4 linked regions of the Cricetulus griseus genome follow. The protein of the gene in region 1 purifies or fractionates together with the protein of each later gene. This does not show direct contact. Links are inferred from orthologs where the notes say so. Each region holds a gene or a part of one and is shown on either strand. Other genes may lie near its edges. The genes, in order: Sdc2, Camkv, Ampd2 and Pdpk1.

Evidence for each region.
Region 2: the proteins of Sdc2 (region 1) and Camkv purify together in Homo sapiens (affinity purification with mass spectrometry; 3 studies listed by BioGRID and IntAct, counting the BioPlex papers as one, with this or other methods). This does not show direct contact. The link is inferred for Cricetulus griseus from reciprocal best matches to the Homo sapiens genes SDC2 and CAMKV.
Region 3: the proteins of Sdc2 (region 1) and Ampd2 purify together in Homo sapiens (co-immunoprecipitation; 3 studies listed by BioGRID and IntAct, counting the BioPlex papers as one, with this or other methods). This does not show direct contact. The link is inferred for Cricetulus griseus from reciprocal best matches to the Homo sapiens genes SDC2 and AMPD2.
Region 4: the proteins of Sdc2 (region 1) and Pdpk1 purify together in Homo sapiens (affinity purification with mass spectrometry; 4 studies listed by BioGRID and IntAct, counting the BioPlex papers as one, with this or other methods). This does not show direct contact. The link is inferred for Cricetulus griseus from reciprocal best matches to the Homo sapiens genes SDC2 and PDPK1.

What each region holds. Positions count from the first base shown.
Region 1 is NC_048603.1:17,615,916-17,623,341, forward strand, and holds the start of Sdc2 (syndecan-2), read right to left. Parts: upstream 4,076-7,426; 5' UTR 3,586-4,075; coding exon 3,526-3,585; intron 1-3,525. UniProt on the Homo sapiens protein: Cell surface proteoglycan which regulates dendritic arbor morphogenesis.
Region 2 is NC_048597.1:216,130,233-216,137,700, forward strand, and holds the start of Camkv (caM kinase-like vesicle-associated protein), read left to right. Parts: upstream 1-2,839; coding exon 2,840-2,934; intron 2,935-3,047; coding exon 3,048-3,179; intron 3,180-3,320; coding exon 3,321-3,395; intron 3,396-3,608; coding exon 3,609-3,747; intron 3,748-3,889; coding exon 3,890-4,010; intron 4,011-4,162; coding exon 4,163-4,238; intron 4,239-4,327; coding exon 4,328-4,464; intron 4,465-4,625; coding exon 4,626-4,704; intron 4,705-4,933; coding exon 4,934-5,021; intron 5,022-5,293; coding exon 5,294-5,875; 3' UTR 5,876-7,468. UniProt on the Homo sapiens protein: Does not appear to have detectable kinase activity.
Region 3 is NW_023276806.1:49,048,216-49,055,876, reverse strand, and holds the start of Ampd2 (AMP deaminase 2), read right to left. Parts: upstream 5,060-7,661; 5' UTR 4,463-5,059; coding exon 4,375-4,462; intron 233-4,374; coding exon 102-232; intron 1-101. UniProt on the Homo sapiens protein: AMP deaminase plays a critical role in energy metabolism. Catalyzes the deamination of AMP to IMP and plays an important role in the purine nucleotide cycle.
Region 4 is NC_048600.1:43,632,493-43,639,427, reverse strand, and holds part of Pdpk1 (3-phosphoinositide-dependent protein kinase 1), read left to right. Parts: intron 1-1,268; coding exon 1,269-1,337; intron 1,338-1,599; coding exon 1,600-1,696; intron 1,697-3,283; coding exon 3,284-3,457; intron 3,458-6,829; coding exon 6,830-6,935. UniProt on the Homo sapiens protein: Serine/threonine kinase which acts as a master kinase, phosphorylating and activating a subgroup of the AGC family of protein kinases.

The sequences.
Region 1 (7,426 bases):
GAGATCTTGTTATTTGGTTTTCTGGCAGGGGAGGAAGGACAGCTTGGTGAGAACCTCTGCTCGGAGGCATTCTTTCCAGGACCTGCTGGGTCACCAACCAGCAGACATGCCAATAGCACAATGGCTTGGCTAGACTCATTGTAAACCTTAATAACAGAGCTGGCTGGGCTGGGTATGGCCAAGTCAGTCTCCAGAAAGATAGTCCCCCAAAGACTCCAAGTTACCTATAGTCAAGTCCGGTGTGTGTGTGTGTGTGTGTGTGTGTGTGTGTGTGTGTGTATTGGGGGGGGCTTCTGGAGGCTTGAAAAATAAGTTTTGCTTTTGGAAAAACTAGCTGGCCTTTTAAAATTCTTTCTCAACTAATGATTATCCAAGGTGCCATTTGAATGATCGTGTTACCCAGCCCACTGGTAGACTGCTCTTTGAATGGCAGACAACACCAAAACAAGATATAAGACCTTGATTTGAACATCACATAAGGCATACATGGATCAAAATATCATAGGGTATCTGATAAGTATGCAACAGTACTGCCTACCTACTGATCAGCATTTTTAATGAAAAGAAAAAGGCATACCAGTTTCTATAAGCAATCGTTGTAAGACATACTCAAATTCCTTCTTGCACACCCATCCTCTGAGCTTTCCTTCTTAAATGACACAGTCTACTGCTAATATTGAGCAGAGAGATAAAGAGCCTTTGTTTCTGTCAGATTCTCCTGCACAAGTAATTTGCCCCATTAGAACTGACAAAATACATTTAGAGAAAGACTGCTAAGAACTATAGTATTTCAACTTTAATTTCCTTTCTAGTGCAAACTTTCCAGAGCCTGGCTTTCATGATGCCTTTTGCGGTAGTGCACGCCTCCAAATGACTTGACAGTTTCCTTTCATTTACACACATCTAAGCATGCTTATAAAACTCCACCAGTTCAAGATGATTCCTTTCCTTAAACATATTTCCAGTTCAAATTATATGTTTATAGAAGTCTGTGCTGTATTATTTCTCAAGATAAACAGTCATGTAAAGAAAATGGACAGAAAAACTAGCAGCATGTTCACTCTGCTCCATCCTCCCGGCAGTGAAAATCCTCAGCTGCCAGTGGAAAGCATGAGCAGACATAAGAAGCAGGCTTCCTCGCTTTCTCTGTATCCTCAGGAAGGGGCCCCAAGTTCCTCTCCCCAAACAGCTTTGAACCCTAGTGCCTGAGACGCATCCCTCCCCTTGGAGCTAAGTCTAAACTAAAGAATTCACTAGCTGGCTGCCGATGGAATCTTAAAGCTCAGACAATCACTACTTTTAAATCCTGGGCAGCACTGCAGTTTCCAAATGAAAATAAAAAGTTCTGGAAATAATGTTTTGTAACAGCTGAACTTTTAAAAGTCTCGTGTTTCAAGCTTGGGTATATTTATGCTGTTCTAGGTGAAGTAAATTAGAGACCGGATTGGGGGGGGCAGAGTAAATGGGCTATCAGTCAGTCGGTTTGGGTTTTGAAACAGCTTTTACTGAGAAAGATTGACTCACTGTCCAACAAAGGCTCTAGGTAGGATTCTCAGTTGACATTTTAAAAATATTTAATCACCCTTCGAATGATAGTTCAAGGGCTCAAAACATAATCTTTCCAATAAAGCTGTTCACTTGGAAAACATTCAATTCTGGTTTGAACTGAGAAAATGGTAGAGCCCCCAAAGATAAAAGACTACAAGAGAAATCTCGCAGGGAGAGAAGACAAGCACGATTCAGGGGGAAAAAAAAAAACAGCAACAAACCCCACCATACCTTAAGGAGTTGTCAAACCCACACAGAAACTCCAAAGGGTTTTTCTTGCCTGGAATCCCCAAATGGGAACATTTCCTAGCAAATCTCTCAATAGGGTTCTGCCAAGAAAAGGTCCTCCAACTCTGCACAGTTTAGCAGGAATCCACTCTGGAAATCATTTAGTTCTTTTGCCCTGCTTTGCAACAGATGAGCAATGAATTTTTTTCCTAAATAAACACAGAATAGCTCCCTTTTGGTTTACAACAAGCCAAAGTTCAGAACTAGCTGGGAAAGATTATTAATTCCAACGGATTAAACATCATTTGCCAGTGAGAAATCCTGTAAATATCAGAGTTGTACTTCTACATCCCAATAGCTGAAATATCCAGTATCCAATTCTAAGTTCCCCAGCCTCAAACAATGCACAGCGACCTTCTGACCAACACAGCGGAGCATCACTGCCCCCCACCCCCACTCCCACCCCCACCCATCACAAATGTCCATTTTATGCCGAATGCCAAAAGGTTTCCCAATCCCTAATTGCCTAGGGTCAAAATGGAAGAGACTCCCAAGCCCAGCTAAAGACATACAGTATTTTCGAAGGGACCTTTCCATTAATTCGAATTGGACAAGTTACTGGATGCCAACGTAGTGGCGTAGACAAGCAGAGGAAAGGAAAGGAAACAGTAGCACTCTCTGATTGAGAAGGCCGCCCTGGGACTGCATGCCGGGGCTTCCACCTGCCAAAACAGCTGCAGTGGCCTAGGTAGGGGAAGCCGCAGTAGTCGCGAGCCGCCGGGGAGGCAGTTACCATTAGAGGGCGTTCATTGGGCAATGCGGAGAAACAAACTCCAATCCCAGAAACGCAATCCTGAGGAGAAATCAAGTTCCCACCGCCACCGAGAGGGGATGATGCTGGCACTGGAAGAAGACAATCTCACAGGAGTACGAAACCCACAGGCTCATGAGGGCAGCAGGAGAGACGTCTCCATTCCCCAGAAGCCAGAGGCTCTGCGGACCATAGCAATGCCACAAGCACCCTCCCCTTTCCATTTTACATCAGTCCAGTGCCATCTGATTAATTTTCCTCTCTCCCCTAAAGCCCCGGGCCTCTCTCCATGAGAAGGGTTCGTGGAAGACGCCAGAGGACGGAGCTCTGGCCTCTTCCCGAAAGCTCCAGCAGCCGTGGCCTCCAACTAGACCACCGACTGCGTCTCCACGCAGTGTGGCTTCCTTGCCACAGCAACAGGGGGCATCAAACCAATGAACTTTTGCAAACTTTCCTCTCCCCCTATTTTCGAGTTTCTTTAACATGGGCCCTGTCTCCCTAAACTTGCATTCAGTCATGCACAAAACCTGGAGTAGAGGGGCCACTGTCTCGAAGAACAGACACTCACCAAAGTTTCCAACTCATCCCTGGCCCTTAGCGGTGCTCTCCTGGACCGCCACTCTAAGACCTCTGTCCTTCCTGGACCACACCACAAAATGCCCCGAGAGCGAAAAGTTGGGAGTGACTGCAGGAGCCTCTGAGATGCCATTCTGGTGGCCCCATCCCCGAAGACATGGGATAGCTCCCTGTAACTGCTCAGTTCTGCAAGAGGGGAAAGGAAGGGACCGGGGACGAGCTGTGGAAAAGCAAGCTCATTTGCCCCAGCACATTCTAAGTAGCCCCACGTCTACGGGTGGCAGACTCCCCAATTTCCCTCTGGCTCCTCTCGTAGCCTCAGGCACCCAAAACAGCGCGCGCCCCCGGCCTGGCCCACTCACCGTCTCCGCCGACACGCAGGCCATCAAGCCCAAGGTGAGCAGGATCCACGCGTTCTGCATATTCCCCCGGGGACGTGGCTCGCAACCCGGATGAAACGAAGCCCAGAGCACAGAACGGCGGGCCTGGAGATACCGGAGCTGAGCCGCCGCAGCGAGCAGGGCTCGGGCTCGGGCTCAGGCTCGGATTCCCGGCGCTAGCTGCTGTCTCCTCGGGCGCTCGCTCCGGCTTTCGCGCTGCGCCCCGGGAACGCGGCTCCTTCTCACTTGTTGGCTTCTGCGCTCCCAACCGGAGTCGCTGCTTCGGGAGGCTGCTTGGCTGGGCTGGTCCTGCGCGGCGGCGGCGTGCTTTCCCTCGGAAGACTCGCGTGTCTGATGTGAAGCAAGCAGCCACAGGCTTGTGAAGGAGCAGCGGCTGAAGTTTGGGATGCAGAGCGGCGGGGACGCGCGATCCGCGCGGCCTGAACTCCGGGGGTATCTGGAGCGCGGCGGGCGCCCGGGGGCCGGACTAGAGGCTCGGCCGCTGCGCCCCTCCTCCTGCGCGCCGCCGCCTCCCGGGTCCTCCCCTAGATCCCACCCCCCACCCACCCCTCCACGTCCTCTCCCTGGCCCTGCTCCGCCTCCGCCGCCTCCGCCCCCACCTTCCCTCTCTTCCTCGCCCGCAGCTCCCGGTTCCTCCTGGCGACTAGGGGAAAGCAGGCGGCAGCGACTCCCGGATAAACCCGGGAGAAATTCTTACAGGATCACACCGCGATTGGCAGCTTCCAGAGCCAGTGGGAGCCCTCGACTCCGTGCTGTGGCTGCTCCAGGAACGCGCCTCTGCAAACCTCAGGGCTCTTTCATTTTCTTGCTCCCCCTTTTCCCCTTCTCAACGTCCTCTCCGCTCTCCGCCACCTCTTTTTTGCCCCTCCTTTCCTTTTTCTTCGTTTTAATTTTCTGAAGCAAAAAAAAAAAAAAAAAAAATCCACGAAGGGCGATCCGCACACTGATCCTGATCCTGTTCTGGCTTATGGGGGTTAGGTCACTAGAAGAAACAGCGATGAGAGTCGGGAAAATGAGAAAGTTTATAGATTAAATTACAGTGTCCACAGGTCACCAGATCATGAAAATTGCAATCCAGAAAACATGAGAACGAGTATAACAAGTGTGTGTTAGATTATCCTCGACCCCCGACCCCTCCCCCGCAAAAAAAGCAGAGGAAAGGGAATCCGAAAACGCAACAGCTCCAAAGTGCAGCTTCGTAAAAGGTTTAAAAGCCATTTCTGCCGCTCACAGTTTATTTTCGCCCTCCACCCACCCCACCCCCAATCCCTCAGGCATCATTTAAGCTCAGTTTCCACATAGTGGTGTTTACATTTGGAAGCAACAAATGGGGATGAAAAATTAGATAGAAGTTCTAGATAATAGCAGATGAAAGGAAAGGTCAGAGAAGGGTAAAGTCGTTTCTGGATTGAAGAAAATAATAAATATGCATTTCCTGAGTGGAGGAGACTGGTCTGAAGTATCAGGCTTTGCCTTGCAGCTCAGTGCTGTGTTGTGCTACAGAACCAGGCAGGCACAGACCCTCCCAATTTCTACCGCTGTTTTCCTCTTTGATTTGGGAACTAAATGAATTATGGATTCATTTTCTTCTACAGTGCCCATTCCTAGAGGCCAGAACTTTTCAGACTTGGTCACTACTTTATTATCATTTGGGATACATTAAAAATACACAGTACCTATGTTGTACGTAAATACAAATCCAAAGCTCGAGCCATATCATATAAAAATTGTGCCCCTTTAAGACACTCATACATATAGATACAGCCATGAGGCCATGGACATTTTAGAACTCAGACTAAACTGTGGTCACATCTAAAGTGACTGTTAGGATGTTTCAGTGATAAGTCACTGTTATGGATCTCAAAGGAAAAATTAACAGGAGAATCATAAACCTTCGTTAAGACATTGACCCTATTTCAGGGAACTACCAACTTCCTGCCTGAGCAGCCAAAAGGGAGAAATGGTGAAATAGAAGAGTGAAGCTTGGCTTTTGAAAGAATCAGCTATGCACTTATGTGTAAGGTGAATACTTTGTGGTTGAAGAACACCATGAGAAGTGGAAGGTTTTCACAATAAAAATTAACACTTCATTCAAAAAGCTGTTAAGGGGCTAGAGAGATAGTGTGTAAAAGCTTCCTCTGAGATTGAAACATTCCATCCTGCAGGAAGCCCCTCAAGCAAGGTACACAACTAACTCAAAATAGCTTGGGGGGTGAGGGGGTGGGGGGTCCTGTTATGACCTTGTCACTAGGTCCCTCCCTGCCTGAGTAAGCAGTAGAGACAGAGCTATGCTACAAAATCTTAGAGGAGAAAATCTTCAAGAAGATTGAGACCAGACCAGTTGCCAGGAAGAGGTTTAGACAAACTGAGGCACCTGGAAAGGACACTCTCAAACCCCTTGAGCTGCCTGCAGGTGTACAGTGTGCGCCAGGTTCCCAGCTTTGTGAGCTGTCATCCGTGCAGAGGTGGCTTTTGGAGATGCAGCTGTCATTGAGTCATTTCTGTTCCTGTAAGTGACCCCTCAATCATATTGCTGTGGGTAACCCCAGTAAAAACCACTGGTTCACCAAATTGTACTTTAGTGGTATTTGTACATTGGTCTCTCTTGGGTTCCCTATCTGGGGTGCATAGATCTGTGTGCTGTGTCTCCCCAGGAAAAGATTCATCAGAACAGCTCAGAAGTTAGGAGCACTTATCACTTTGCAGAGGTATGGTTCCCAGCACTCATAATTGGTGAATCAGAACTTCCTGTAACTCCAGAGGGATCTCTGGTCACCACAGTCACCCGCACTTCCATGCACATAACCCACAGACACATAAAAATAAAATAAATCTGTTTTAAGTTAAACATTATCACCTCTGTCCCCACAAAGGACCCAGTCAACTTTTCACCCTTAAGGCTAGGTCACATATCCACACCTCTGTTGTCTCCAACAATTAACATTTGGAAGCTATGGCAAGGCTACAATTTGATGAGGAACTGGATAAAGACCATGAATAATAGCAGACATAGAGAAACATGAAGTAAAGAACTATAAAAGTAATTTCTATCTTGAGGAAAATTGGATTATGTGCTCATTTTGTTTGTCAAGTATCTACCTAACAAGAAGCTCTGATTCAGCTTGGACAGGAAGTGATAAAAATTAATAAGCAGATGTGTCTACAGAAGGGACCTATCTGTCAGCTTCCCTGAAGACAATCCCCAAAGCTCTTGGCATTTATTGGACTCTCCATGACTTACACTTTGAAGAAAAAAAAAAAAAAACTCAAGCCTGAGCTTTTATCTCATGAAGGAATTGGTACCATTTTGAGAGTCGCTATAAAGTGCACGAAAATAGATAATTATTCATCGCCTTGTGTTCAAAAGCATCCACAAGTAAGATGAGAGGGGTAATGTGGGAGTGTAAGAACGGGTTCCACCTGGGGTGGCTGGCCATGTCACCTATGCAGAAGAAGGATGGGGGAAGGGTATAGCCAATAACAACTAGTGCTCATCAGCCATGTCTCTGAATCTAGAAATTATGACTGCATCTTGCTAAGGGAATTTTTAATAAAAATTGATAGAGACTAAAATTCAGTTGAATTTTATGAGGTATATCTGTTGCAAGAAAGATAGCTGTGGCTAGACCAAGGATCATTCTCTGTTCTGAGGACCTCCAGCTTACAGGCTGAACGTTGAGGGATATAGCAAGGAAATCTTCTTAACTGCTGTCTTCCAAGTACCTTACTAGTGGTGCATCTCAGAAGAAAATATATAATGAGGTCCAGTGATATGGTTCAGCAGTTTGGGCAGTTGCTTGCTGTCAAGGCTGACAACCTGAGTTCTACCCCTGGAGCCTACATGATGTAAGGAGAGAGTCAA
Region 2 (7,468 bases), on another chromosome or scaffold:
TATCAAGCATTCTCTGTCTCTCTCCACCTATACCTTTCGCTAGGCTAGAAGTAACAAGCTCCAGCAGTCATCTTTTGTCCACCCTTGGAGCCGGGGTTTCAGGCATGTTCAAGAAATCTGACTTGTCATGCAGGTGCTGAGATTCAAACCCTGGTCCTCACATGTGTGCAGCAAGCTCTCTTAACACTGAACCATCTCTCCAGATCCCTGCATGTACATGTTTACCAAGATATAAAGTTCATTCAGGTTGAGAAACAGGTCTTCCAGAAGGTTCCCATGTGCCCTAACCCAGTCACCCTATCCTGTTCCTTCGGAGGAACCACTGTGACTCCTAGAACTTACTTTCTGCTTCTCTGTACAGTGTTACTTCTGTATTTGAATCCCCAGCAGTATGGTGAGCTCTGCCTGTTTTGAGCTCTATCAATAGACTCACACTACATGCATTTTTTCCTGTTTCTATCAACACCGTTTTTGAAAGACACACTATTTGGCTGAGTAGACCCATAGCTCCTTCATTTCCTTCGCAGTATAACATTCTATTATATGACTGTACCACAATACAGCCTGCTGGTGCTGGGTATTTGGGCTCTTTCCAGCTTTTAGCAATTATGGATATAGCAATTATGAGCATTCTTACACAAGTGTCCTGAGGCATAAATGTGTGTCTGCCTCTCTCCCTTCCGCCCTCTCTTTGACAGGATCTCCCTATGTAGCCCAGGTTGGCCTGGAACTCCTGGGGCACAGTTGGCTCAAATGTATGCATTTCGGTGGAGCAAATATTTCAAGTACATAGAGTGAGCTTGAGAAATTGTGCAGTGGCTAAAAGCATGGGCTGCTCTTCCAGAGGGCCTGGGTTCAGTTCCCAGCACCCACACAACAGCTCATGACTGTAACTCCAGGGGATCCAACCCCCTCTCCTGGCCTCCATAGGCACTAGGTACGCATGTTGTACCTAGGCAGACATGAAGGCCAAACACCATACACATAAAAATGTATAATCATGGGGAGGGAGAAGGAGCTGGGATTGACATGTGAAGCAAGCTTGTTTCTAATTTAAATAAACACACCTACAAATATACATATGCACATACATATGTAATAAAAAATAAAAGAAGCACATAGAGTATATTTGACAAGACTGGCCTTGTCCTGTCCTGCTCTGTCCTTTACAACAAAGTCTCCTGTAGCCTATGCTGGCCTTGAACTCATCAAGTAGCTGAGGCTTCCTTGAACTCCTTGATCCTCCTGGCCCCACCTCCTAAGTGCCAGGATTTCAATTGTGTACCACATCTGGCTCCCAGCTTTTTCAAGGGGGAATTGCCCTCTTCCAGCGGTGTTCATTTTGTCCATAGCTTCGTCAAAATTTGTCATCTCTAGACCATCAGAGATAAATAACTAGTATGGAGGAAAGCTCGTGAGACCTCAGCCCTAGATAAAGAACTACAGGCAGCTAAGGATTGCTGTGGAAGAATAGTCTACGCCAGGGAAAAACACATCTGTTGATTATCCAACACCAAATTGTCAGCCCTGAAAAACATACATTCAAATAACACTATAAGATCCTAACAGGTTATATAACCAGGAACACATACACATAAACACACACACACACACACACGCACGCACGCACGCACGCACGCACGCACGCACGCACGCACGCACCAGGACAACTAAAGAAAAAGAGGTCATGAATTTGATTACAGAAAGGCAGAAGAGGGGGAAGGGGAAATGATAATTATAATCTCAAAAAAAAATTTCCAAAGGTGGTGGGTCATACCTTAAATCCCAGCTCTCAGAAGACAGAGGTAAGCCAAGGCCAGCCTCATCCATAGGGTGAGTTCCAGGACAACCAGGGCTGTTACTCAGAGAAACCCTGTCTCAAAAAACCCACAAAAATTATTGCTGGAATAAACTTAAATTTATGTTCATGGAATAGCTGAAATTTAAATATTTTTATATCTTTATTTATTGGTTGATTTTCAAGATAGTATTTCTCTGTGTAAAAGCTCTGGGTCTCCTAGAACTTGCTCTGTAGACCAGGCTAGCCTTGAACTCAAAGAGATTGCCTGCCTCTGCCTCCCTTGTGCTGGGATTAAAGGCATGCGCCACCACTGCCCGCTTTATTGATTTTTTGAAATAGGGTTTCTCACTATAGCCCAGGCTGGCCTCAGACTCATGCTAATCCTCTTATGTCAGTTTCTTGAGTGCTGAATGACAAATGTGAGTTATCATAACTGACTTTTAAAAAATTGTGGGGTTTGTTGTTTGTTTTGTTTTAAGATTACATTTATTTATTTGTGGGGGCAGTATAGTATGTGCATGGATGTCAGAGGGCAATTCGTGGAAGTTGGTTCTCTTTCCATCATTTGGGTCCCAGGGATCAAACTCAGATTTGGAGGGTAAATGCTCTTACCTGGTGAGCCATCTCTCTGACCCTAAAGAAACTGATGGTTTAGTCCCATCTTTATCTACATAATGAGTCTAGGGAAGCTAGAGCTATATAGTGAAACCCTGTGTCAAAAATCAAAACTAAATAAGTAAACAAATTGTTCTGTAAGTCTTTTCAAGTGTATATAATGAAAAACTATTTCCTAATATGTCAATTTAGTAAACTTTTGCTTAGTGGGAGCTGTTGTAGGTCAAGCAGCCAGACTGAGTGGCTGCAGTATGGCTTCAAAAAGCAAAGTAGGTCTGTGTTTGCCTTCTTTGCCTTTCACTTGACCTGAGTTGGGCTTGGGTTTTCCAAAAGCAGATTCAATGTTGTTGGAGGGTAGGGTGAGGGATAGAAAATGGTCCAGCTGAGCCAGACCCCATTCTGCTTGCATCTTAGAGCCTAGCAATGCCGTTTGGGTGTGTAACTCTGGGCGACAAGAAGAACTATAACCAGCCATCGGAGGTGACTGACAGATATGATTTGGGACAGGTCATCAAGACGTGAGTGTTGGGCATGTTGGGCAATGACGGGTGGATAGACCAGAGTTGGGGAAGCGGGAATGGGGTGCCCCTGTCCCAAGGCCTAGGCTGAGCGGAGTGCCTGCTGGCTTCAGTGAGGAGTTCTGTGAAATCTTCCGGGCCAAGGACAAGACGACAGGCAAGCTGCACACCTGCAAGAAGTTCCAGAAGCGTGATGGCCGCAAGGTGCGGAAGGCTGCCAAGAATGAGATTGGCATCCTCAAGATGTGAGTGTGAGGACTGAGGGGAGAGAGATGGCAGGGAAGGGCATAACGGGCAGGGGGCTCAGGAAGCACCACCACCTTAGGAACCAGAGCTTCTCTGGGGTTCACCCAGCCCTGACTACCGACTCCTCCCACTGCTACTAGGGTGAAGCACCCTAACATCCTGCAGCTGGTAGATGTGTTTGTGACCCGCAAGGAATACTTCATCTTCCTGGAGCTGTGAGTACAATTCTGGGGTTCCAGGATCCCCCAGTCCCTGGGGCATTTTCCTTCCCTTCCTTTTATAACGAAAGAAACCACTTTTGGAGCCCTCATGGTCCCAAGGCCCTGGGCCCTACCCAGCCAGGTGCCTGCTATAAGTCAGGCCTCCCAAATGTTCCTGTCCTACCCCCGATCCTGCCCACGCCGGGCTCAGGGGCTGGTGTCCCTCAGGGCCACGGGGAGGGAGGTGTTTGACTGGATCCTGGACCAGGGCTACTACTCGGAGCGAGACACGAGCAACGTGGTGCGGCAGGTCTTGGAGGCCGTGGCCTACTTGCACTCACTCAGGATTGTCCACAGGAACCTCAAGGTAAGGCCAGGGCCAGGGAGACTCGATCGTTTGACAGCTGGGCTGGGGCTGGAGTGAGTGCCACATGGGGCTCTTGGTCCAGCAGCTTCCGAGGCCCTCATGATAACGTCTGCCTGCCCTTCTACCCTTCTCTCCTGGACAGCTGGAAAACCTAGTGTACTACAACAGGCTGAAGAACTCAAAGATTGTCATCAGTGACTTCCACCTGGCTAAGCTAGAAAATGGCCTCATCAAGGAGCCCTGTGGGACCCCGGAGTATCTGGGTAAGGAGGGATGGGACGGGATGGTGGATGGACGGGCACCAGGGAGAGACTTTGGGGTAGGGACAAGTCTCTTTCCCAGAAGGTGGGTAATGGGTGGTATGATATCTGGCTAAACTTGATACTGACCTGCAGATGGACACTTTTTTCTTTAGCACCGGAAGTGGTAGGACGGCAACGGTATGGACGCCCCGTGGACTGCTGGGCCATCGGTGTCATCATGTACATCCTGTGAGTGAAACGGCACGTAATTGGGCTTGCAGCCAGGTGGGCTGCACAGCAGTGTCTGTGGCCATCCTAGGTGACCCTGTTCCATGCAGCCTTTCAGGCAACCCGCCCTTCTACGAGGAGGTAGAAGAAGATGACTATGAGAACCATGATAAGAATCTCTTCCGCAAGATCCTGGCTGGTGACTATGAGTTTGACTCTCCATACTGGGATGATATTTCTCAGGCAGGTGAGGAGACACCCAGCATGCGGGCAGAGTAGCGGGCGGTAGGGAGGGAGGCGCTGCTCTCAGCTTCTGCTGGGTTCTACTCCTGCTCCCCAGCCCATTCATCACATCTAGACAATGAGATGGGGCGCCCATGCCTAGCCCATCCCTGGCTTTGTCCCCAGCCAAAGACCTGGTCACAAGGCTGATGGAGGTGGAGCAAGACCAGCGGATCACTGCAGAAGAGGCCATCTCCCATGAATGGTGAGCAGGGCCCTGTGGAGGATGGAAGTTAAGGCCAAGTTTCTGTTGTTCTCTGAACTTTTTACACCACAAGTCCTTATCCTTGAGGTCTTGAGGGTGATGGGGGACTTTCTAGATCTCTGACCAAGCCAGAGGCTCTGCCTGGTGGTCCTAGATCACACAGGGAAGGGCTGTGGAGTCTCCGTGAAGGCACAGAGCATCCTATAAGAGGCACTTGCCTCCTTTCTAGGATTTCTGGTAATGCCGCATCTGATAAGAACATCAAGGATGGAGTCTGTGCCCAGATTGAAAAGAACTTCGCCAGAGCCAAGTGGAAGGTAGGGTTTGGCTCGCTTTTTCTTGGCCCAGCTCCAAGTGCTGCTTCTTGCACCCACAGTTTCCTGCCGCCACTGCACCTCTTCAGCTGAACACAAATTTTTCTCAGGCTATCATATGTGGCTGTAGCTCCTGCTATTATCTTAAGCTGAAGTACTGAGCATCTGGGTGGCCAGAGGTGTCTGGGGTACTCTGGAAGGGGTGGGTTAGCCATTTTGAAGGAGTGGATCCAGCAAGCCTCACCACGAGCCTTTCTTCACTGTCCTTCTTTCAGAAGGCTGTCCGAGTGACCACTCTAATGAAACGGCTCCGGGCACCAGAGCAGTCTGGCACAGCTGCAGCCCAGTCTGCTTCAGACACTGCCACTCCTGGGGCTGCTGGTGGGGCCATTGCTGCAGCTGCCAGTGGAGCTGCCCCGGCCTCTGGGGGCGGTGCTACTGCAGCCACAGAGCGTGAAGCTGGGTGTGCTGCCAAGAGTGATAATATAGCCTCTGCAGATCGTAGTGCTACCCCAGCCACAGATGGCAGTGCAACTCCAGCCACAGATGGCAGTGTCACCCCAGCCACTGATGGGAGCATCACTCCAGCCACTGATGGGAGTGTCACTCCAGCCACTGACAGGAGTGCTACACCAGCTACTGATGGCAGAGCTACACCAGCTACAGAAGAGAGCGCAGTGCCCACCACCCAAAGCAGTGCCATGCCAGCTGCAAAGGCAGCTGCCACCCCTGAGCCGGCTGTGGCCCAGCCGGACAGCACAGCCCTAGAGGGTGCCACAGGCCAGGCTCCTCCCTCTAGTAAAGGAGAAGAGGCTACTGGCTGTGCCCAGGAGTCTCAGGGGGAGAAGATGAGCTGAATGGGCAGCCCAGTGGGGGTTTTGAGGGATGGGAAGGAGGGTGGGAGTGTGGATGAGGGGCTTCTCATTGTATATAGAGTCACTGGCATGATGCCCTAGCTCCCCCCAAGCTCCCTCATCCCAGTGGGGCATGCCTGGGGGCCATGGGAGAGCAGTCTTGTCTCCTGTGTGGATGTGTGTGAGTGGTGGGTAGGCCAGAGGCAGGGCCAGCCCCAGCCCCTGCATGGATTCCTTGTGGCTTTTCTGTCTTTCGCTCGCTTCACCACTTTCTGTTCCTTGTGGGATACTGCTCTAGGGATACTCAGGGGGTCCTTGCTCTCCTTCTCCTTCCCTTCCTGCCTCATCATTTCCCCAGGCAGGCCCTGCAAGTCTCACACTTCCCCTGGCCCTAAATTGGGTGGCCTTGCCCTGAGAGCTGGTCCTCCAGCGAGGCCCTATCAGCAGTGTTAGGCTCCTGCACATGAAGGTGTGTACCTGTGGTGTGTGGGTTGCTCTAGGAGTAGATGCTGGCTGCTAGAGAGGATGCAGAATCTAGGGCAGTGTGCTTTAAGTCAAGTCTGGTCACATGATTGGGGGCACTGCACATTAGCTGTGGGGATCCTCAGAAGTGGGGGAGAGAATTGATAGAAGAGTAGAAGCTTCCGTCTTTTCCCATGGGTAGGCCTTCTGAAGATCCTTGTGTTGTTTCTTGCCCTCCCTAGTCCTGTAGTGGGTTACTCTGTATCCTGGTTCTTATGAAACTCTAAAGAAAAGGAGAAACAATTAGGATGTAGCAGTGGGACCTAGGAGAACAGAGTACAGGACCAGTACCAGGGCCCCAACCTGTCTGGGTCTTTATTCTGAGATAGATAGGGAGGGCTGGTGTTCCCATGGTCTTCCTAGATGCCACTACCACAGGAAGAGATCTTACCCATGGCCACCTCTTTCAGGCTCAGGCCATAAATCCTCTGGCCCTAAATACTCCTCCCAGGGAGGCATGGCAGTACCTCATAGGCTGCTTGAGAGTTTGCTTTTTTACAGTGGCAGATTTTCTGCTCTTCAGCAACATGGAGAGGATTTTCCTCTATTTCTGCTATCACAGGCTGAGGTATCGCTCAGCCATGTTAAGTTGCTCTTCTGGGATGAGGAAGTAGAATAAGATTCCCAGTCTCTGGAAGGATGCTCTTGGCAGGTGCCCTTGGTCCGACCCTGTCACAGCCTGAAAAGGCAGCCACACGCTGGTCCTTGCCCTAGCTCGGCACTCCATGGTGGTCCTGCCCTTCTCCCTGCATGCCTGTGGGTCTGCTCTGGTATGTGAAGGTTGGTGGGCTAACTGTGTGCCTGCTGAACCTGGCAAATAAACGTCACCCTGCAAAGCCTCTGGCCACCCTCTTGCCTTTGCTTCCTCTGTCCTATTGGGGAGGAACCCATGGAAGGCAGTGGGGGAGGAGAGGCTGATGCTCAGTGCATTGCTTAGGGTGAGAGTGAAGGTCACCTTCTCCAGTATGTACCTGGATGATGTTGATGGGGGACCCTCTGGACTCTAGGAAACCATGTGAGTGATGTGCTTCAGCCAAGAACTATCCCCTGAGCTGAGCACTTGAAGGACTGACG
Region 3 (7,661 bases), on another chromosome or scaffold:
GATCAGGGATAGCTAGGCATGAGATGAGAGGTGGCTGAAATATAGGGGTATAGCAACGAGGATAGTCTGAGGTGAGGAGGTGTGGGAGTGCCAGGTGATACCTCTGCGATCTCCTTGCATTTGCCATCCATAGACGTGCGAAGGTCGAGTGGGAAGTGCTTGAGGCAGGGGGCAGTGCCAGGTAGGGATCGGGCAGACTGCAGCGGAGAGGCCCCCAGACCACCCCTAGCCTCTGCAGAGACAGTGATGACAGGGTCAAGGAGAGGAGGGGCAGGGCCTGGATGCCTCTGGAAGCCAAGAACCCCTTCCTACCTTGGGGCCAGAACCTATTAAAAGCCAGGGTCTAGACACTGGGCAATACTTCTACTGAGGCAAAAGAGCCAGCCATGTGGGGGTCCCAAGGGAACTCATCCATATCTACATGGAGGCCCTTTACTACCCCAAGCTCAGGGATGAGGTCCTGTGCCTGCCTGTGGAACAAATGAATCAACTCTGCAATGAGAACTTGAGGTAGGGGTGGCCCACTCCCTTAGATCAGGAGAATCTATCTGCACGTGACCTTTCCAGAAAGGGTGCGCATGTACACACGTACTTGCATGCACATGCACACACACACACACACATACACACACACACACACACACACACACACACACACACCAAGTACTCATTTAGGATCAGTGGCCACACTAAGGACCATCAGCTTCTCGGGCACTAATCCAGGGTCAGATCTGCCCCTGACCTAACAGGTCCTTCCCTGAGAAGAACAGAACAACCACCTACTCTCCTAGACATGAAGGCAGAAGCAAAGTACAGCAGCCACTCAGCTCTGACCCAAGAAGCAACTATCAAGGAAGAGGACCTGGTTGGCAAGGAGCCCTCTCTCCCCCTGGAGGCCTGTCCTCTCCCTAGGACCCCAGAACTGCCAGGATGAGGGCTGATCCTAGGCTACCCCTCCCACTGCTGGCTGCCCCTCTGAAAGGAGCTACCAGTCTATGCCTCTTGGAAGCCCTAGGATCTGGGCTGGAGGCTCCATGAAAGGCCCTGAGAAAGGGAGAATTAGAAGCCAGGGGTCTTTCTACTCCAACAAGGGCAGAACAACTCTACATGGGCCTCACCACGAGGTTAATACTGTAGGTCTGAAGCTGCTAGTCTCCTAGACTGCCTAAGCTCCCAGGCCACCAGGAAGGACCCTTTTGGGTCCTTCAACAGTCTTAGCCTCCTCCTGCAGGAAGCTGTCCACAGACCATTTGGTCCTCCCAGCCAGCTGTAGAAGATGCAATCCCCCCAGAACCCTCGACCATCTCCACTGTCATAGAAAAGGATTCGGGCTCTGCCTTAAGGTCTCTGTACCCATTTCTAGTGCTCCAGGTACAGTCCCAAAGCTGGACAAAGAAAAAGGAGCTTGACCTAGATCAGGACCCAGCTACCGACTTGCCTTGGTCTCTATTGGAACCCTACCTGCAGAGTTCAAGAGTGCTCTGGTCAGCAGCCCTGTGCCCCTTGCCTGCCTGTTTGCCTTGTGAAGCTGCAGCCAGTCCCCCAGGACAGCTCAGGGGCTGGCATGGGCTGTACCAAGTGCAGCTATAAGCAGGGGAGACCCTGGGATGGCCCCAAGTAGGGGGCTGGGAGAGTTCAGGGGAGTTTAGAAACCCAGAGAAGGTGCAGGAATTGGGAGATGGGAAGAACTCTAATTCTAACAGGACCTTAACCTCTTCAGTGCCAGTGAGGCCAACCTAGATCCAGGGATCTCAACAGGGAGAAACAAGACAGACTGAGATGGCCAAGGCAGCCTGGAAGGGAGGGGCCAAGTCTCCTTAAAACCACAGCCCTAGGGGACAGAAAGTGGACACAGCCTGGCTGGCCAAAGGGTAGGAAGAGAGACAAGGGAGACCAGCCATGGTCCCCTGAGCCCTACACCTCTGGAAAGCTTCATCTGTCCACCCCAGGTCTTTTGGGCCCTGACTACACTATGGACTCTTGAGGAGAAATAAGGCCTTTGCTACATGCAGAGGCTGGCTGGTAGTTGGACCACTGGCCTAATCTGGGTAGGAGCTAGTTACAGAGGCTTCTTAGCATACAAGCCAGTCCCAAGTCCATTATCAGGGTAGGGGCAAACTACTCAGGAAGAGTAACTTGGAACATGGGAGCAGCATTTGGAAAACACATAGGACTCTACTTTTGTTTATTTGCTTGCCTTAACCTCTGGACAGAGGCTATAAATGGGTGAGAAGTGGCCTTGTCCTATCTGGCCACAGCCCCAGGACTCACAGGGGAATGATCTACAAGAGTTCTGTAAAGCTTAGGACTCTGAGCCCATGGGGCTACAATCAGAAATTCCTAGGACGCTCCAAACACTTAAATGGAGACCCTTCATTGAGGAGGGTGAGAGGCCTTCTGAATCCAGTGTAGGGGTAAAGGCTGCTAAGTAGGGGAAAGCAGTGAAGAGAAAGGGATATTGTAGGGGTAGAGAGGCTCTCCCTTGCAAGAAAGAACTGGAGGAAGAGGCAAAGATCAATACCTACCCACCCAACCTAGGGTTTCAAGTCTTTGATTATCAAGAACCTAGATCATAGGCCAGGCAGTGGTGGTGCATGTCTTTAATTGCAGCACATGGTAGGCATATCTCTGCGCTCGAGGCCAATCTGGTCTACAGAGCAAGTTCTAGGACACCACACAGAGAAACAAACAAACAAAACAAACCACCCTGATCCTACCTATGCTCTTAAAGACGGCTCCAGACCATTTGGGGGTTTTGTTTTCTGTCTTTTGCATTCCTGGGACCACCTGAGGCCTTGTGTGTGCTAAGGAAGTCCTCTACTACCGAGCTATATCCTCACCCTTTTCTAGTTTTACTTTCAGGCAGGCTCTTACTAAGTGTCCAAGCATACCTGGAACTCATGATCCTCCTGCCTCAGCTTCCCAACTAGCTAATTACAGGTGTGCATCACTACACCCAGCCACCAACCACTTCTAAGTCCCTGAAGGTAGACCACAGAGCTGCAGAAATGAAGTTAAAAGCCCTCATTTTAAACCCTTTCCTGTCAGGTAACCCTGGGCCTACAGAGCAGGGCTGGGTGAGCAGGAAGGGTTCCAGCAGCCACAGTCATCTTCCTAGTCTGCCACACAAAAGCAAACAACTGCTAGACTCACCAGAGGTGACACACCAGCAACAACCTCCATACTCCCTCATGCCAGATCCCGTCTCCCTGGTTCAGTGCCAAAAGTTGGCATCACAACATACATATGATGATACATACAGCCCAACGCCAAGGGGGGATCACCCCATCAGCTCCAAGATTCTGGTGCCTAGTCCTTCCTCTTGACTAGCCCCTCACTCATTATCAAGACTGCCTCACTAGGCCTCAACCCCAGGGACAGGATGCTCTCAGGGTCTAACCATCTAAGGGTCTCTAGCTCAGCAATAGAGTAACCAGCACAGAACTAGCTCCAGGGCATACACCCGGAAGACTCAGATCCAAACACACAGTCTGAGACACAGATCTGAGCACACAGGTCAGCACAACACAAAGCCCTAGCCAAGCATTTTTGGCAGCATAAAAACAAGCTAAAGGAGGGTAGTCAGGGTGTAAATAGAGCTATGAGGGGTTAACAACATCCAGTCACCAAGGCGTTTTTCTTTAGCCAGAACACTTGAGAGCTGCAGACACCCACACCCCTGGAAGCACAAGCTCAAGTAGCTAAGTCCTCACCAGGATGGACACTCGCCACCACACAACCAGTTGCAAATGGTGCGGAGATGCCCACATAGTAGGAGCCAAACCCAAGGGTGCAAGGTACACAGCCCACCAGACATCTCAAGGGCTGCCGCTCTCCTGAAGAGGCTCACAACACAGACCAGGAACAAGCAAACAGCAAGGATAGTAGCAACGGAGCCCTACCTCTGGTGTATGTGCCAGCAATGCATGACCCCAGATGTCACTCACCGATGAGGGAGTTCTAGATCTAGGGCCTTGGAAAGAGTAACAACCTGAGCCTGCCTGCTGTAGGCACAGGCACCAAACAGGGTAGCCAGTCCGCAAAGCAGTCATCAGTCCCACACCCTCCCCACTTCATTCACACACTTCACACACAGTCTCAGCATCTGCACAAGCAGACACGTGTGCATATACGCCTCTTGTGCACACACATCCACACCCACTCCTTGTTACGGAGGGCAGCATCCCTGACATGGAAACCTCAGACCCCCCCCCCACTCCCTGCGCCACCCAACCCAGTCAGTCAGCCCTAGAACCGAAGCAGAGAGGCATCACTGCAGAGAGGGTGCTGCAGAAGGGGGCCCTCTCTGAGGCACTAGGTGGCCTGGACAGGAGGAGATGGAGGAGCCCCATGCCTGAAGCCAAGAACACTTACCTGGAGCAGCAGCGGAAGCTTGCAGGCTGGCCCGCTTCTTAAAGGGATATTTGGCCTTGGACTTGCCTGGGCCAGAATAGGATGCCATGGCTGGGGCCAAGGCTACAGCGGAGGAACCTCACCAGCTGGGGCCAACCTCTCTCACATCCAACCCCTTCCTCCGCCCCGCCCCCAGCGGGAGTGACTGATGCAGGAAGCAGCGCCCCGCAGGCGGAAGAGGCCCTGGCCACGATTTCTGATGTTGTCTAGGCAACCTCGGGGAGTGGGGCCTCCATCCTGCCCCTTATCCCTCCCTTCCCACTCCAGTCCCTAGAGTGACGTGACTGATGGTGGCTGGGACTGGGGTGGGGGTGGGGGCGCAAAGAAAACAGATGGAGCAGCGCCAGCTCGCAGCTCTGCACCACCCTCACCCCATCTCCGGAACCCTCATCCCTTGCCAAAGCTTCAAGGCAAAGAAGCCAAAGTCCAGGCTAGGCTCAGCCAGAGAGAAAAATAATAAGAATACAGCCTGAGCTTCTCCAGCCTCAAAACCCATTTCCTCCAGGGAGAGGGCAAGCGTACTCAAGAAAACCCAGAGCCTCGGGGGCAGAACCCACTCTTTTCTTCTCCATCTGACCCCAGCTCTAGGGACAGCCCAGGAGAAGGAGGCTGAACTGAGAATTCGAGCCCAGAAGGGAGGAACCTGTCTTGGGAAAATTCCACTGACCGGCAGAAGCTGGAAGTCCTCCTAGGAAGACAGGAAGAGCCGGAGGCAGGGTCTTGTTGAGGTCTGTGGGAAAGACCCCAGGCTCCTCTGCTTGTCTCTCTGCCCGCACACTCAAGGTCTGCTTCCCTAGACCTTTCCAGGGTCTGCTCACACTCCTAGCAAGACCTGACCCTCTTGTCACCCGGACAAGGCACCTTTGTCCCGGGATCCCTCTAACGCCAACACACGCGCCACACGCTTACCTGAGGCCATACTGCCCGAGTCCCGAGTGGTACCAGGGAGGCTGCCTAGTCTACACCGCGGGGAAGCGCGGCTGAGGAGAGGAGAGGGCCCCACAGGGGCGAAGTCGCGCCCCTGGCCCCTGCACCCGCACTGAGGCGGGAAGGAAGGCTGCTTCTCAAAATGGCCAGCTGGACGAAGGCGGACTCCCACGGGCTTCAGCTGCCAGACTGACCTCAGGAGACCCCGGTGTCGCGACCCCCAGCCCGCACTCAAGAGGAAGCAGGCCACGTGCTCCACAGAAAACCGAACCCGGAATTCGCCTAGGGTTCTTTCACTAGTTTCTGGGAATCAATTAGAGATCCCAATCCCGTGGCGGGGCCGTGGGGCAGTCGCGCAACAGGTGCGACCCCGCCTAAACCTTCCCGGCTGCGCGCCAACCTCGCTTGCCCCAGGCCCCGCCAAGTCTGCGGTCACGCCCCGTTCGGCCACGCCCCCGGCCCTCTGGCCACACCCCCACCATTTTCCCTGTTTCCTTAACGCCACGTGGGCGCCACCCCGGCCAGGGTTGGCCTGGCTTGGCCCTTCCGTCTTGGGCGGCTTCTGTGGGTCAGTTTCCTCATCAGTAAGATGAAATAAGGTAATGATAGTGTCTCATTCAAAGGACTTACTGAAGATTGAATGTAAAGTCCCTTTGCACAATGCCTGGCACAAGTCAGGAAGCTATTATTAGGGTCCCAGAATCCATTTTAAGCAGAAGCCCTGCCCTTGCATTCCCCGCATTCCCACCTGAGTCTGTTTCCTTCTATTAGCCATTGGCCCTGAAGGCTGGCTTCCTCATCCCACGTTAGTTTCTATGTTGAGGTTAGACGAGCCAGAATGTCTAGGTTCAAATTCAGGCATCGCCACCTACTTCCTGACTGGCGCTGAAATTCTCGGTGCTATTTCTGTAAAATGAGTATCTGCTCTATATGATACTGGTGAAGATAAGTGAGTTAATTATAAGTGCTTAGACCTGTGTCTGGCCTGTAAGTTACTACCCAATCAGTGTTCATGTAACATTGCTTTGGTCTGGGATCCTTAATGCAACTCATTGACTCTCCTTGTGGGTTAAGTGTTTGCACAGGGCCACAGCCGGCCCTCCCAAACCAGCATTCCCATATTCAAGGGCCAGTCTTACCTAAAGGAAACCTGTAAGGGGAAGTCCCCTTACCTTTATGAAAGTAATTACCTTTATGAGAAGCAATTGTTCCCTTGCCCTTGAGGGAGTCCTTTGCCTACACACACACACACACACACACACAGCTGTTCTAAAGGTCTTACCTCCCCCACACTACATCCCTTCCCTCCTGTCCCCACCCTGAACTCTGGGTCCTGAGCCCCATTCTCTCTATATCTGAGGCGGCCTCTAGGGTGTCTCCTGTCCACCTGTCTTAAACTTTGCAAATAATTGCCTTGGGATGGGGTGAGGGCTGGGTGGCAGCATCCCTCTGTCTTACACGTGAGAGGCAATGCCCACCATGGCAGGCAAAAAGACAAAAACACAAACAAGAAACCCCCTACAGTGGCCTCCAGAAACTTGGGAAGGCAGTGGGGGAAATCCAGTTCACAGAGCATCAAAGACTAAAATAGAACAAGAGATACCTTGTTCTTACTTTGTTATGTTTAAATATCAAAACAGGGCCATTAGAAGCTCTCAGTACAGATGAGGGTGTGTTGAACTAGACACAGGTTATGTGGCCATAAACACTAATATAATCTAAGAACCATCTAGCAAAATATAATCAAGGGTCTCAAGTTTTACTGTTTTTGACTCCTAACAAGTCTATTTTTTTTTTTGAAGATCAAAAAATAATTTTATTGGTGTTTAAAGGAAAAGCTCAGGGCATGCAACTTGTGACTCTCAGCAGATGCCTGCAAGAGAAGGGAAGACATGTTTAAAAGAAAGAGAAAGAAATAAAAGAAAGAAAGAAGTTATACCTTTCTCAATCAGAATTCAGGAGGATGGGCAGACCCAGCTAATCCCATGGCAGCTTCTAGGGATTTCTTCAGGGGGTGGGAATCACAAAACTGTTCTTTAAAAAAAAAAAAAAAAAAAGAGTTCTCTGAGCCTGGGCAGTCCCAGATCCCGGGAGGCAGAACCAGCAGGATTTGAGTTCGGTGCCAGAGGCCAGCCTTGTTTACAGAGTGAGTTCCAGGACAGCCAGGCATATACAGAGAAACCCTATCTCAAAAACAAAACCAAAACCAAAAATAAGACCAAAAACAAACCAATACTAATAGTAAAAATAAAGGGTTGTCTGAAAAATTCCACAAAGTTGTTCAATATTGCAATATTTACCACAGAAAATTTGGAAACATA
Region 4 (6,935 bases), on another chromosome or scaffold:
TAGCTCTAGCCATCCTGGGCTGCATAAGACAGTTGTCTCAAAAACTAAATGCAAACAAATCCCCAAAGTCGCTACATTATATGTAAAATATTTTTTATTTCATCACACTGCCAAATCTTTAACTCTGATTTCTAATTTTTAGAATTATGCTTAGTCTTGGTGCCTTAATCTACCTGTCCCTGGCCTGCAAGTGCTGGTGACATCAGAGCAAAGACAGAGCTTGGCTGTAACATTTGCCTCTGTGGCTACACTGTTGTCTTGAGTGGTGGTTGCTATATCCTATGATGACAAATTATTGCTGGCATCCCACAAAATCTGCATACACCTCGTACTTGGGGACAGCTGGAAATGGAAGGCAAAATCAGGTGTATCCTGACATCTCAGTGACCCAAGAGATCACAGAAAAGCCAGATGTGCCAGGAGAGTGTTGTGACAGGAAAGGGGCTAACCTCAGGATTCCTGATAGCTGGGCACCTAGGATATCTAGCTACATTATAGAAACTACTTACAGACATTCAGAATGATACACATGTAAGGCTGAGACAGGAGGATGGATTGAGAATCTTGTGAATTTAGGGTCAGCTTGAGCAGCACAGTGACTCTTATCTCAATAAAAAAAAATAATTACAAGTAAAATGGATAGTCTAAATGTTTTTAAAAGAGGGGCAGGACTTTCTTGATAGAGTTCAAAAAGGGAAAGACAGTGTACATCCTGGGAAGGTCCTTTTGAGCCCCACATGTATCCAGCTTTTGAATCTTTTCTGAGGTGAGCCAAAGTCATGCCCAGAGAGCATTTGAATTAGTTATAGCAGTATCACCCTACAGGGACAAAACTTTTCTCCAGCCCCACTCCCTAGAACTAGGAGATTCTCCCTCAGACCTCCTAAAGTTGTTAATACTGGTTAGCATTCTTCAACTCCCACCTTACCTGATATGCAGCATCCTGGTATAGCATGATGTTGGCAATGAACTATGTTCTCCTCAGAATGAGACAAGGACATGTAGAAGTTGTTAGCCCTCAATAGACATCTTCAGGGGAGCTGAACCACTTGGTAGTGTTCCTGCCTAGTATAGTACCATTTGACTCAGGTCACAGGGAGATGCTTAGAAAAGCAAATTCAAACTTCCCACATAACCTTGTCTTAAGCGATAGGAATACATTAGAGACTGAAGGTAGAGTGGTACAGACAAGAGACTGCAAAGTGAACCTTTTTTATCATTTAAATTATACCAATCCCATTTTTCTTTGTGTTTTCCCTCTCTTAAAGTTCAGACCTTTGGGCTCTTGGATGTATAATCTATCAGCTTGTGGCAGGACTCCCACCGTTCAGAGCCGGGTAAGAGGGATTCTGTACATCTTAGGCTTCTGAGCCTATCACCGCATACTCCATTGCCAACAGCTGCTGGGAGGTCTGGACAAAGGTTGTGCCCAGTGGGGAGGAACTTCCACCATAACTTAAGAATATGTGGTGCCTGGGGACTTTAGTAAGATCTGGCCTGGAAGGTGAGGGTGACATTGGGATGTTCTGTAAAAGTGTACCTAGTATTAGAGATTTGAAAAACCCTTGCCCAAATAACAGCAATTTTTTTAATTCACAGAAATGAATATCTTATATTTCAGAAGATCATTAAACTGGAATATGATTTCCCAGAGAAATTCTTTCCTAAGGCAAGAGATCTTGTGGAAAAACTCTTGGTAAGTATTTTAAATTTTCTGTGGTAAGGAATCATCATAGCTACCTTCTGACTTCTGTCACACTCATGGCCATCCTTTTGAAAAATGTGTTTAAGATAGACAGTAATTATAGATAAGTATTTTTATCTCAGTACCTATTTCTTGACTTTAATAAGAGAGGAAGTTACTTTATTATTTCGTGTGTGTTCATTAACATCATGTCACATTTTAAGTGATTGCCACTGAGTGACTGGGTTTATTCCAGTGGCAGATGGCTGTAAATCCTGCTTCAGTGACATCTGCCAATATCACCTTTAGAGTGTAAATTACATGAAGACTTTAAAGATCAACCTAAGTAACAAGGCAGAGAGAACCAGAGAAAGAGGTGCCATTTTATGTTCAAAAACTGGGGGTCTCAGCCCTTTTGCTTTGTAGCCTGATCTCCTTTCTTCCTATTTCTTTGGGAATCAGTGCCAGGTCCTATATTTATGGGTAGGCCCAGGTTTGGCTCTTCCCAGCTATTCTTCTGGTCTCTTTCCTTCATTTCCCTCATTACGGAGTGGGCTTAATTCAACTTTGCAGGCATAGGAGTGACTGTGCCACAGCCTTTAAGAGGTATGATATTATACTCAGTAAGAGCCTCATTGTTCATTTTCTTTGTTCTTAGAGGCAGTCAGTTCATTTTTTCCCCTTGTGTTAGAAGTTTTGCATTTATTTATTTCTGAGACAGAGTCTTGCTGTTTGGCCCAAGTTATCCTAAAATACTTGACAGCCCTCCTGCTCAACTTGAGTGCTAGGCTTATAGTTATACATCGCCATGCCATACTTGGCTTTTTTAGTTAGCATTTCTTTTCTTTCTTTTTTATTTTTATTTATTTATTTTTTTAGCATTTCTTATTTTTGTGTTCTCTCTCTCTTTTTTTTTTATGTTTTTGTTTGTCTTTTTTTTTTTTTTCCCCAGACAGGGTTTCTCTGTGCAAATAGCTTTGGCTGTCCTATAACTTGCTTTGTAGACCAGGTTGACCTTATCTCACAGAGATCCACCTGCCTCTGCCTCCCAAGTGCACCCACCTGGCAGCATTTTTGTTTTCAATAGTAAGCATTTCTTTCTTTCTCTCTCTTTTTTTAAACAATATTTTTACTCTTTGAAAATTTCAGAAATTGTGTTTTTGACATAAACACTCCCCAACATCTTCCATTATTATCTTCCCACCCCTTTCTAGCTTTGGAATTTCTTCAAGTCTAGTTTGTGCTGCCCAGATAGTCTTGGGAGTGAGGCCTGCCCTGGTGTGTGGTCAGCCTACCAGGGCTCATATCATTTTATAACACTTTTAGTTGCATGCTTTAAAAAGATGCTTGCTGCCACCCTCTGTCTTTTGAGGTTGAGATTTGTTTTACCTGTGGAAAGAAAAGGGCAGAGTCTTGGGTTGAGGGTAAGAGTCCTGGTCAATCTTGGCTTTTTCTACTACAGCATAGGCAGGCCGGGGTATGGACCACAGTGTCCCTACTCTTTCCAAAAGGTCTCAGGGCTTGACACTTGCACAAAATAAATAAACAAATACTTAACATTTTAACCCTGACAGTGACATGTCTTGGCTATCATTTAAGGTTTTAGATGCCACAAAGCGTTTAGGCTGTGAAGAGATGGAAGGGTACGAGCCTCTCAAAGCTCATCCATTCTTTGAATCCATCACATGGGAGAATCTGCACCAGCAGACACCTCCGAAGCTCACAGCTTACTTGCCAGCCATGTCAGAGGATGATGAAGACTGCTATGGCAACGTAAGCAGGCACTCATGGGGACTAGTTCAGGCAAAGAGAAATCTGCTTGCCATGCTGTATAAGTATGATTCCTTGGGACTCTAATTTATGTGATTACTGGTTAAAATGTATGAGTGAACATGGTGGACTTGGTGGTGGTTTAATACTTTGCTCTAAGTAAATGACCAACACACCTTGTGTAGGTGTTCTTATTTCTGGTTCCTGTTCTTATTCCCTCAGCTGATGAACTTTTACCTGTTTGGGGGATATGGATGGGAGGGAGGTCAGGATGTGGTCTGGACCTGTGCATGAGAGACCAGTGTCCTGCCCTAATCCCTCACCCCCTGACACTGGGGCCCAGGAAGCTCATCATTGGCAGCTTTTGGCTCAGAGCCTTTCTGATTTTTTTTTTTTTTTAATGTTCTGAAATGCTTATTTTTTTCAAGAGAACCCAGAATGCTACTGACTTGAATTTCCGGGGATGTGGTGTAGGAGGGTAGACTCCAGTCCCTGTAGCTTGATGCTCAGCAATAGGTGCATACTGTGTTTCAGGGGTGCTGCCCCTTGGGGTTTGTGTGCAATTGCTGTCACTGGCTTCAAAGCAGCTTGTCTCTGAAGAATTGACAATAGACATATATGAGACCTTGAATAAACTTTAGTTTTAAAACTTTCTACACTGAAAAATGGGAAACACCAGCAAAAGAGACAGAAATAAGAAGCAACAGTGTTCCTCCACAATTTCAGTCTTGTTTTTCTTAAATATTTATTTATTTATTTATTTATTTATTTATTTATTTATTTATTATGTGTACAGTGTTCGGTTTGCATGTATGCCTGCAGGCCAGAAGAGGGCACCAAATCTCATTACAGGTGATGGTGAGCCACCATGTGGTTGCTGGGAATTGAACTCAAGACTTCTGGAAGAGCAGCCAGTGCTCTTAACCTATGAGCCATCTCTCTAGCACCCATGATTTCAGTCTTACCCAGACTCTGCTCCCATTGTGATCTCCATATTTAATTTTTCTTTTAATAGTTCATTGATTCAACTCATTTTTTTCTCATTTGATTTCTGTTTTCTGGACTTATTCTAACCAGTTGCCATCCATGGAGTTCTGTTTAACTGACTGAGCAATTCTGACATTTACCTGAAAGCCTTCCAAAACAGCCAGGCTTTTTTTTTTTTTTTTGTGTGTGTGTGTGTGTGTGTGTGTGTGTGTGTGTGTGTTCGTTCTCAGCATTCAGTAAGCTGAGGCAAGAAGATTGAAAGTTGTGGCTGGAGAGATGACTCAGTGGTTAAGATGACTTTCTGTCCTTCCATAGGTTGTGAGTTCGATTCTCAGCACCCACATATTGGCTCACAACTGTCTGTAATTCCATGTCCAGGGAATCTGACGTCTTTTCTGGCCTCTGGGAACATTAAGTACACACATTGTGTGATCGTGCGTGTACACACACACACACACACACACACACACACACACAAGCAAAAGTTCCATATACATAAAATAATAAGTAGAAAGATTGAAAGGTCATGGTCAGTCTGGCTACAAATTAGGCACTGTCTCAGAACAAGATATACATACAAACAAAAAAACCCAAACAAAAGAGGATCTTCTAAATACTTCTAAAGAAGTATTGCTGTTTTTGCCTCTTAGAGATCAAGGAATTATCTGTGTTTTACTTGCTGTTTGGCAATCCCCATTTTCTCCTAAAATGTTCTTTGTGCCCAGACTTGTAGGGAATGAAACTCAAGTGCATCTATGTGGCCAGTGGCCAGTTTCTGCATGTGTTCACTGCAGAGAAAGGCCCTGAGCCAGGAGTTCCTGCCCCTGCCCCACTTGCCTACTAAATGCTCATGAGTGGTGTCCTTTTGGGTCATGTCAGAGGGTGCTGGTGGAAACCTTGGTGTCCTCTTTATTGGAACTCTCATTTCTGCAGGAGTTAACCAGGAATGGTAGGCAGTCCTTCACCTTATGGTTTCTGTCCCTTCCTTTCACTCCCAAAGGCAGCTGATCTTTGAAAGGGCTGAATCGACTCCATTATCGTCTATCTTAGCAGCCAGGAGCATTTCTTCATGTATACTTTACATGCATATTCACCTAAGCATCTTTGAGGGCCTGCTCTGCATTGTTGAGGACAGGGCTTTTTTATGGGGAGCTTTGACTTCTACCTGTATAATCTGGCTCTGAGTGGCAGCAACTTGGTTTTGTTGCGTGGCTGCTTAGCTCTTCTGGTATGTCTTAAGGGCTTTGTAAGCACCTAGACAGAGTTTCCTGTGTGGGAGTTCACCTTTAGACAGACTGGGCTTAGAGAACGCTGCGACAGAGGAAGTCTGCTCTGCAGGTATTCCTTTTTCATGGATGGAGAAGCTCAGTGATGTGGAGCAGCAGCTTTGTGCTGCTTTTAAATTCAGTGTTGGCCAGAGGAGTTTGACTCTGAGCTTCAGTTTCTGTGTTAGAAATTGAAGCCACTTTATTGGCTCTGAAAGATTTTGTAGGGACACCCCTCGTCCCAGTAGAAGCATGGCAGTAATTTTTGTAAATTGATGCAGGGACATGATTTCTCTTACTGGGGACCCTCCAGGAAGGAAGTGGGGACAGCGCTAGGGTATGAATGTGGAGTCAGCAAGATGGAGCTATTACTGCTGGAGGCTATGCAGGCATCAATTCTGCAAAGTGCCACTGGGCAACAGTGAGAAGGTGGGCATAGGACTATAGACTCTGCAGAGGGTAGGGACTGACCTCTGTGGAGTGTAGTAGACAGGACTCTCTTTCTGGAAATTCAGGATATGGAAGGCAGGACTCAGGGGTATGAGGCCTGCAGCCAACGTAACTGCCTCCCACCTATGCTCAAAGATCTTTGACCCTGTCATTGCCTGGGAGTGTGCTAGAATGTGAGCTGCCCATTCTGCTTGTGTTTTTTTTTTTTTTTCCCCTAGAATCATTGCTGAGATTAAAGAATATTTTAAAAAATAAAACAAATATAAGCTAAATCAGACTATGCAGTGGCTCTGAAACTTAAGATCCCAACTCTAAAAGAGAAGTTTGCCCAAGCGTTGAATTCCTTGTCAGAGGGTAGCTGCTCTAGAGGTTCCTGCCTTGGGGTGCTGTGCTGGGTAAGGGTCCCAGGTTCTTTCTCCCTGGAGATAAAGGATGTAGTGTAGCCCCTCTTTGACCTCTGTTTCTATCAGAAGAGGAACTTATAGCAGGAAGGTCTAGCCTTGCTTTGGTTTAGTGACCAAATGGTCATTGGAAGAAACTCTGTCTATCTATTTGAAGTGAGTATGTAAGCTTACCAGGTTGTGAGCGGCTGTGGGGGCCAGGCAATGTGGGAGGCAGTCTTTGACCTTACAGACAAATTAAGGTACGTCTCTCCTTTCCTTTTCCCTTGCAGTATGACAATCTCCTGAGTCAGTTTGGCTGCATGCAGGTGTCATCCTCCTCCTCTTCCCACTCGCTGTCTGCGGTGGATACCAGCCTGCCCCAGAGGTCGGGCAGCA